2 linked regions of the Arabidopsis thaliana genome follow. The protein of the gene in region 2 interacts with the protein of the main gene of each other region in a pairwise test. Each region holds a gene or a part of one and is shown on either strand. Other genes may lie near its edges.

What was found. The genes of interacting proteins can lie anywhere in the genome.
Region 1: the proteins of RSL2 (region 2) and SYD interact in a two-hybrid assay, tested with the Arabidopsis thaliana proteins (one large-scale study listed by BioGRID).

The regions. Positions count from the first base shown.
Region 1 is NC_003071.7:12,054,442-12,059,348, reverse strand, and holds the start of SYD (P-loop containing nucleoside triphosphate hydrolases superfamily protein), read right to left. Parts: upstream 2,579-4,907; coding exon 2,471-2,578; intron 2,377-2,470; coding exon 2,315-2,376; intron 2,067-2,314; coding exon 1,951-2,066; intron 1,854-1,950; coding exon 1,464-1,853; intron 1,363-1,463; coding exon 1,307-1,362; intron 790-1,306; coding exon 629-789; intron 542-628; coding exon 477-541; intron 395-476; coding exon 2-394; intron 1-1. UniProt on the Arabidopsis thaliana protein: Catalytic component of the chromatin structure-remodeling complex (RSC), which is involved in transcription regulation and nucleosome positioning.
Region 2 is NC_003075.7:16,238,471-16,243,377, forward strand, and holds RSL2 (ROOT HAIR DEFECTIVE 6-LIKE 2), read right to left. Parts: upstream 2,700-4,907; 5' UTR 2,583-2,699; coding exon 2,043-2,582; intron 1,950-2,042; coding exon 1,644-1,949; intron 1,536-1,643; coding exon 1,470-1,535; intron 1,339-1,469; coding exon 1,273-1,338; intron 1,177-1,272; coding exon 1,096-1,176; 3' UTR 893-1,095; downstream 1-892. UniProt on the Arabidopsis thaliana protein: Transcription factor involved in the regulation of root hair elongation. Does not seem to be a direct transcriptional target of RHD6 and RSL1. Involved in the regulation of root hair elongation in response to low phosphate.

The DNA.
Region 1 (4,907 bases), on a different chromosome or scaffold from region 2:
CCAGAAGAATGAAATTCGTCGAGTTGAACAGCAGAAGTTGAGAGGTCATTAGTTTTGATTACTCCAGTCCACCCCACCATCTCTGATGGTGTGTTTTTGGTCAAACCAGGAGAAAACGTTAGTTGAGAATGACTAACAGCAACCTGAGTTTGTGCTTGAGAGCTGGGAATTCTAGATGCTAGAAGCTTTTGCCCGTCAGAAAATACAGTATTTGCGAAACTTTTTTCCCCTAGTCTTGATCTCTCAGTTTCTTTGGATGAGAAGTCCATTTCATCCAATCTTCCAGTGGGATTGTCTGTTCTTGACAACAGTGCAGAGACGTCAGGAATGCCACCCAGATCACTGGACGTATGTGTTCTCCCTTTCGGATCAAACAATTCTCCGCGGAAACCATCTGTAATGAAGACCAATTATGATCCAAGGGAAAGCATGTAAAAAGTGGATTCGAAAGTAACTTCAGTGAGCACCAACATTACCTTCTTCGCGGAAAGTATTTCGAAGGGCAATCTCTACGTGAAGTTTCTTCGGTACCAAACCATTTCTACGAGATGAAAATCAACCAGAAATTTTTAGAGTTACAATTGCCGCACCAAAAGGAGTATACAGAGGCTAGGAGACTGTAAGGTACCTAAGAGCTAGAAACACAAGGCACTGGGCTCTGAGCTGCTTCAGTTGTTGCTCTCTAAAAGGTGAACCTGAAGGCAGGAATCCCTCTCCTGCAACATTATTTCCAGGTTCTTTATGAATTGCAGGCCTGATTGCTGTGGCTTCACTGCTCTGCCAGCCACACTGCCATAGAAAATAAGATCCCACATATAGAGGGGATGAGTTCCAACGAGGTATCTTGGTATGAAATAAAAGAGGAAAGGACATTTTGCAGAGCCTAAGTCAGACTATATGCAAGTAAGATTCAATACATCATATAGAAGGCAAAGTTTTAATCAAATCACGTTTTTGAAAAAGTGAATTTAGTGGCATCTAAGTTTTTTAGGTTAAAAAACAAAGAAAATCACCACGGGAAATGCAAGCATTTTTTTCATATTTCCAATACAGAAAACGAAAATAGATAAGAAAATAATACTTCTAAGGAGAGACAAATGTTTCGGAGAATAAGCCACCATGTGCCAGCATATATCTCTTTATACATTCTTAAGAAGTTATTGTGCATCAGATACGTGTAGCACAAAGTCCCAAAATATTTGAAATTGGCAGAGTCAGGGAGGCTCAAAATGATTTCATAAACCTAATGTTATGTACACAATATGTATATAATCTGGATGGATTCGGGAAACTTAGTGTTATGTACCTGTGGAGTCGTGAATGCATCTGAGGACAACCCAACATGCAAATTCCTAATGTCACCTGAGGTTTAATGGCAACAATTGTAGGGTGCTTCTTATATTCTAGATTAAAAAGGATATGCTTTGTTCTGTAAGAAACAATGTTGAAGCAAATATCCCTACCTGAATTACCGGGCATTTCTATTTTGCTTACTTCTCCAGTTTGATCATCAATCTTGTGGCTATCAAATATTTGAGAGTTATCCATATTCTGGTCCCATGAAAGTGATGATTCACCTCTCTTTCTCTTTCCACTCGACTTGACATCTCTTTGATTCATTGTCTCACTACGATTGTGAGGTTGAGAAATTCCAGACGTAGAATCCAAGTTGGATGGACTCTCACGATCAAATGATCTGTTACTTTGAGTTCCAGACCCTTGGTAAAAGGTTTGTGACGCACTGTTTGATCCACCAAGCTGCCTACCAGAAGTGAATGCATCGTATTTTGTCATCTCATTTTCAACTAGAGTTGCTTTACCCTCATTGCTAACTCCAACCGCTTGGGAAGACCCTGTATTCCACATTGATGCAAGAAGCTTAAGATAATAAATAAATAAATAAAAAAAACAATTGAAACACTCAACTGAAACAAAGGAGAGAGGATATACCAGCCAAATGTGCAGACCCAGAATCTTCCGTTTGGGTACCACCAGGATGAGGAAGACACGAGGACTTCAAAGCTTCAATGTCAAGACCGTGTTGATTGACTACAGTGTCCATGGCCCTGGGAGTTTTAGAAAGACTTTATCAGTAAAACAAAAGTGATAAATCTTTGAAAGCATGAGAAACAGCTTGACGCTGAAAGACCCAGAATAACTAGATTCTAAAGTCTTGAGTTAGATAAAGGCTAAAGCAACTGATTCAGTAAGAAGCAGCCCCCACGTCCTCACAGCGTAAGAAGATTATATCATCTCAACCTAATCAGTAATTCATTAACAAATAACCAGCGACGATATATAAGGAAAACAATACCTAGATATGACTTGATAGGGCATTGTGTTTTCCTTTCCACTGGTTTTCATGTGCTGCAATATCTAGAGTAATCGAAAGAATAAACAAAGTTAAAGCACAGGAATAAAGCTCAAAATTACAAAATAAAACATACACTGAGTGGTGAAGCCACATTACCACATAAAGTTTAGTTGCTAGCTTTGCAGGTTCATCTTTAGAATCTTGAATAAGTTTATGCAGAAACTTAGCTGCTTCCAACTCAATATTATGCGAAGAAGACGTCATCTTAACTTAAATTACACCATCACATAAGAATTCCCTGCATCACCACAAGCATGCAGATATTGATTACACAATTCAGAATAAAACAAGACTAATTCCAACCAATGTGCCCAAAAAAAAAAACTAAACTAAACTCTAGAGTCCATACTCCATACCAAACAAATAAAAGAAAATAGCCCAAGAGCAAGTAAATCATAAAGGAGGAAAATTTATGTACCTAAAAGCAAAACTAAAGCGAGAAGAACCTAACAAAAAAAAAAAACTCAGAGGTCCACAATTCATGTGATAAATCCACGGATACATACAAAATTGTAAAATTGGCTGATGGAGCTAAAAAATTCCCCAAATCGCAAGGCAAAGGAGAAGAATTCGCGAGTTACTCTAGTTAATGCAACTCACAAAACCCTAAATAGCTAAATAACGATCCATCAGTGTAGAAGGAGACGAAGAAGAACAAGAAGAAAGAGAGAGGGAGCTTTACAAATTAGAGATCCGGCTCGAGAAGACGAAGCAGAAGTGAAATTTCAGGTGAGAAACGTTGAGAGCTGACAAGTGAAGAAGCTATGCGTCGTCTCTGCGAAATGACTCTCCAAATGAAGAAATGTATAAAACTTATTTCAGACATTAATCAAGAGTTCTAAACGAGACCCCTTAATGGGCCTTGACCCATTACCATAAAGCCCAAATTGAAAAAGATAAGTTATATCACTAAAAGAGGGCGTGAAGAGATGGATTGATAGACACGGAAAAGAGAGAGAGATTTTGGGAGATTCGATTCGAAGATGTTCGATCTTCCAATTGATATGGAGGAGGAGGTGCTCTCTAGGGTTCCGGTGAAATCTCTGGGGAAACTGCGATTGACCTGCAAAAAGTGGAACACTATAACGAAAAGTGAGAGCTTTTTAAAGAAGAAACAGAGGAATGGAATTGAGGTGGTGATGATGATGGACTATAGAGTTTCCTTGATGAGCGTAGATCTACTCTCTCCGTCTATAGATCCTATAGGTAATCTCAATGCAGATGGAATCAAAATATCTAAAATCTTTCACTGCCAAGGGTTTATTCTTATGCATCAACAAGGACAGAGACAAAGACTCTTCTAGGGTTGTTGTTTGGAACCCTTATTTGGGACAAACAAGGTATATCGAATTACCTAGAAATTCTATCTACCACAAGTGCGTGAAGTACGCTCTCGGATACGAGAAAAAGAATCACAAAATCTTGAGATTCGTGAATGAGTACTTGGAGACCAGTAGGGACCGAATTCGTGAGCTTCAGATTTACAGTTTATACTCCAATTCATGGGAGGTCATTGATGATTTCACTCCAGACTGGTATATTTTGTACAAACACAGTGGCGTGTCTCTAAAGGGAAACACTTACTGGTATGCCCTAGAAGAGATCCCATTTCATGGTCTACCATCACTAGATCACCCTGATTTTCTACTATCCTTTGATTTCAAGATTTGAACCGCGTCTGCCTCTGCCTTTCCGAGCCGTATTTGGAGATACTGTGACGCTTGCTAGTGTTAGAGAAGAGCAGCTTGCGGTGCTGTTTCACCGGGCATCCGTCGTCGAGATATGGATTACTAATAAGATTGAGCCTAATGCAGTGTCGTGGAGCAACTTGTTATTTGCTGTTGATATGAAACCAGTCGCTGGTTTTTGGTTTCCTAATGTCGGTAGGAGTTTCTTCGTTGACGAGGAGAAGAAGGTCGCGGTTGTTCTTGATAAAGAGATAATAGACAAATGTCACCTTCCCGCTCGCAATATTGCTTACATCATTGGAAATAATGGAATCTTGAGTAAAGTGGATCTTGGCGAATCTAGAGACAAGTTTTGTTACCCACTTGTGTGCTCTTATGTTCCAAGCTCAGTGCAAATCCCAAACACACCCTAATCTCTTAATTTTGTTTTGTGGTGTTTACTTATCTCAGTTTTAGAGTATCTCTTACTATATAAGAGGTTCCAATGTAATCTTTCCGGTCCCAATTAAGATGAATGAGAATGAATTTGTTTTCTTTTTCTCTCTTAACAACCTTTTCTTGATTCGTTATTCCTCTAATAGTAAGACTGGATTCGTGAAAAAAATGTCGTTGTTTGTTGTTTAAGCATGTGATCTCAATTGCTATGATCTTAGAATATTATCATTTGACATTTAGAAGCGATGGAAACAAAGTAATATATAAGCATCAATCAGAATCGGTGAATATAAATCAAACAGCAAAATATATAACTATTTTTATTTCATAACATTACAACAAGCCACATGAAAAATAATAATTTGCAAACCATACAAAGAAAGAACGATATCAGAATGAAAACAAAAGAA
Region 2 (4,907 bases):
TGCGATAATATTTTAGTGGGGAAATAAGTTGGATATGCTATTCCAGCCACTTTTAAATGCTTTGGACTATTAGATAGATATCTCAAGAAACTAATTTAATATCCTTTTATATATCATATATTCGAACTTTTGGCAAGGTATAACTGTTATTTTTATATACTATAAGGTCTAAACACAGCTATTGCATGGGAACAATTATACTTTTTTATAAATCCGACAGTGGAAAATCATATACGCAAAATTAGTACTGAATATTCCATTGTAAAATTATAAACTAAACATAAAGTATGAATTGGTCTCATTCATGAATATACGTGTGAGAAAGAAAATGTTGCGGCCGAAGTTTTTAAGTGGTCATATTTGATATTTCATCCTTCACAAATGAGTGCATTGATTAATTGATGAGCATTTGTTTTTCGCATCACAACTAATTTTGTAAAATAGGGTTTTACTCCTAGTGAAAAAGGATTTTCTTTGGAATGAACTTACCATTTTAATTAAGCCTAAAAAAAATGAAAACAAATTCCGCCTAAATATTAAATATCACACACATTTCAACCAAAATGATGTACATTCACATTTCTTAAATAGAAGTTACTTTGTTAAGTTATTATTAGCACATTCACATTTTCAACTATTACCTCTTTTGTCAGACCTTTCTTCATTCGTTTGTCAGACCTCTTCATTTTTTATTTTTTATTTTAATATTATAATAATAACTCTCCATTCATTAGGTATTCTTCGAACGGTGATCAGATTAAAAATAATCATATATGTCCCTTGATCATTAAATAAAACGGTGATCAGATTGAGTGTAAACTGTTTAAGGTATAGATCTTATGATCCTGATAAGTATTAAAACTATCGATTGAACAGATGAAACATAAGAATTGAAATGTAAATATGTGATATAAAAGAAAATGAAAGTATAAAAAAAATCGAACGTGACTCTCCATTTCTCTCATATTTGAACATCGTACGAGAATTTATAATCGAACTCGTCCGAAGGCGGAGAATATTAAAAAAGAAAAAGAATATTACATTTTTGGTTATATATAAGAGAAAATATCCAACTAAAATCACAAGTTTTCTGCTTCATCTCGGTGAGCTGAGACCAATGTCCATCCCATTGAAAGCAATCGGCGCATACATCCATAGATCATCAGAGCTCAATAACTGCGTAATTATATTTTAAAATATTAGTTAGATCATATTCATATAACAATTGAACGTACAAAAAAAAAACGATTTGTATTTAAAACCCTTGCTTACCTTAATTTGGAGCTGCAAAAATTTGACGTAATGAACTGCTTCCTCAAGCATTGTACTAATATCGACCTGTTACGTATTTAAGCAATTGTAAATGTTTAGAATCTTTATTAACAATTTCTTGTATAATTAATGAATTTGCATGTAAAAGAGCCATATCTTCTGCATGTTTAAACGTTTGCATGAGTTTTTTTTTTTACCTTTGTTCCATTGGGGACGAGATTTTGTAAAATCCTTAGTCTCTCGTTAATCCTTTCTCTTCTTTTCTGCACGACAAAAAAATAATAAAAAACCAAATTAATTTTTTGAAACATAATCTTCCATAAAAATTTGATATTTTATCTTTTTTGTGGGAAACAAACAAAGCAATTTACCCTTGCATAGAGGCTTTGAGGATCGGTGGCTGCACCACGACTGGCTCTTGTTTTACCATTGAGGTTGAGGGCCTTTGAGGGATCATCTTCCTTAGAGGATGAGTCTTCTCCTCCACCGTCTTGATCAGCGCAGTTTGATTCTTCCTCCGTACAGAAAGTGGTGCTTGAGTTCTGTCTACTCATCATTGCCCCATTCTTTCTTTTCTTCAACTTCGTCTCTCCTTCTTCCTCTTCTCCTTCATTGTTATCCCCACTCATCTCTACGTTCTTCTGGGCCCTCTTATTCACTCTTGCTCTCTTGTTTTTCTGAGTCCATGGCAAACCGTTTCTATATTAGTCACTAAACCAAATGTGATCTCTCTAGCTAATTGCCAACCAGTTCGAAAATTAAAGACTTACATCAGTAGATGTGGCACGGGATCTCTTTTTGGAGCCGGTGAGAGATTTTGTAGTAGTCACAGAGATCTCAGATTGCAACAAGCTTTCCTCGTCATCGTGGTTCTCCACTACGGTTTCCAAAGGCATAAGAGTCTTTCCAGAAGAGTATTTCTCAACGTCACACTCACTTGTCTCCTCACCAACAAGGTATGAGTTTGTATTGATGGTCACATCTTCCATCCCAAAGTCCATTGTCTCATTTTGGTTCTCTTCAACCGTGGGTGGAACAACGGTGTAATATCCGCTGTTCCCAGCGCTGTAGCTGCTGCTCTCTTGAGAGAAACAGAAGCTACCGGCTTCAGACACGAGGCTAAGGTGGTTGTGATGAGAACCAAGGTTCCAATACAAGCCTTGGTGGTCACCACTGGCTGCTGCGCCGGAGGATGAGCCGGTGCCAGGATGATCATAAGAGGCGAGAAGCTGGTTCATGAAATCGGCTTCCTCGGTTGCATAAGTGTACATTCCTCCGAGGTTGTTGCTCCATTCTCCCATGGCTTCCATTTTTATATGTTTTGTTAACTAAGCGTCTTAATTAAGAGATTAATCTTAATTAAGAAGATTGTTAGTTGGAAGTCTTGTGAGAAGTGAGGGAATGAGGAAGAGGAGTTGGAATGTATATATAGAGAACATGAGAGATAGTGGATAAATAAATGTCAACACATAATGACACTAGTTAATCATCTTTCTAATTAATTTGTAAATAACCAAGTCTGGGATACCATTAGATATGGACAGCTAATTATGGTGGGCTCTCTGCAACTTGGTCATCGAACATTAAGTTTAATATATATTTGTCGTTTGTCGTTTATGATTCTGCATTTCTGCTTGTTAATGGCTTCACTTATATATGTTAAATACATCGTTTTAAGTTAAAAACAAGATTATAGTTGGTTGATATACTAGTTCATATGAGAAATGATTGTGGTGGCCGTATTCACTGCATATTTAGGATCAAAATTGGAAGAGCTCTTAGCTTAGCTCATTATAATTTTATCGACTTCCATGTTTCGTTAGCATCCGAGTAATAAGAGATAAACAGATTTCTTAGCAAAAGTGTTTTTTGCAAACTCACTCGATGAAATAGTAGATGTGTTAAAAACTCATGAACGTATAGTTTATATTAATGAGTTTTTTTGCACACAACTATGATTCAAATTCTTGGGAACACTGAACTTACGGTTAGACCCCATAAACTGCTTTCTAATTGCGCCAATCCGTTGAGATCGCGAGTTTTGATGTTGAGTATCGAGTAAATACAATTCACAAGTGTTGATCCACCTTAAAAAAAACTTCATATCATAACGTCATATGATACCTATGATATGAATGTTTTTCCCCTAATGACATGTAGTTAGGTCCCCATATAGTTCAACCTGCCATGATATAAGCAAGACTTATTTTTATTTTAATAGTAAAAAAAAAAATTCTCCAATATTCTACATATAGTAAGAATATTCCTATATATTGATTAGCTATAAGTGTATTATAATTTATAGCTTAAACTAAAATTCTGCATAATTATACAACGCATTAAAGTATTAAGCATTTTTTACTTTACAAAGTAACAAACAATCGAGAAACTATTGGGTCTGAGTAGAAAGAATGATATTTTCCCACTCACCCGCTGACTAGAAAAAAAAATCAAAACTTATCCAAAATCCTTACAAATTTCAAATATATTATATTTAGATAGAAGCATATCCATATGCTATACGACTTCTAAAGAGAAATTATCTAACTAGAATACTGAATACCTATACAACACAAACACAAAGATATAGATTTATGTACATTGTCTCTTTCTACTTTTACATTTTTTTTCAATTTCTATATTTGTTGTCAGCTGTGTTTTTTTTCGAATATGCACTGACTAGATTTATGTGCTAATGTGATTAAAATAGATTACAAAATGATGCATACTCTATGGACCTAGACGGCTAGACATATTTCTCGTCTATTCGATGATTAAATCATGTAAAAATCTAACCTTGAACCAATCAATAACGGATTAAAGAGGTACGACGACTTACGAGAGAAAATTATTGCGTTTGTCAGTTTGTGTATTATGACAATACTTGGATTATCCTAATTTTTAGTTGTAATTATTATATCAAAACCGAAATAAACTAAGGAATGGAATATTTCGACATTAAGCGTAATTCACTTTTAGGTCAAGTTGATGCGAAATTAGAAACAAATGACAAATCAAGCCTATACTTTGAAAAACGCCAACTTGTAGTGACCCAAAAACCGGCCGGTTTTTTCCCATCTATTTTGTGATTTGAAGTTTTAATCTACATATATTGTTTAAATTTATTATTATTTTCTTTTGATATTGTGTTTTTGATGAAACATTTAAAAATTAACCATCTAATTTACGAAACTAAGAACACAAAAGCTCTTCCTCTAACGCCCTTGACAACTTAGTAGTTATTTTATATTAAAATAAGAATCGCGAAGTCTTTGGTTGCTTAAGTTGTCAAGTTCCATGGATAAAATAACTGTGTAGCAGAAAATAAAGAGTTCATGAGAATGAAAGAGAGAGAGAAAGGGATGTGAAATGGGAGAATCAGAGACCTGGTTGTTGAACGTGACAGTTTCTGCATCATATTAATGTTTTTAAAATAAGGGAGAAAGAATGATACTGAGTTATTTGGATTAACTATATTAAGTAATAATTGGTTAGGTTGAGTCAACCACTGGACGGCAGATCGTGCGCGTGGAAAGTCCAAAAGCTCATAAGCCATTCTTGTTATTAAAAAAAAAAACACTATCTATCTCAGTTAAATGTGTATGACATTTACTTCTACCATGTCTATGAAATTT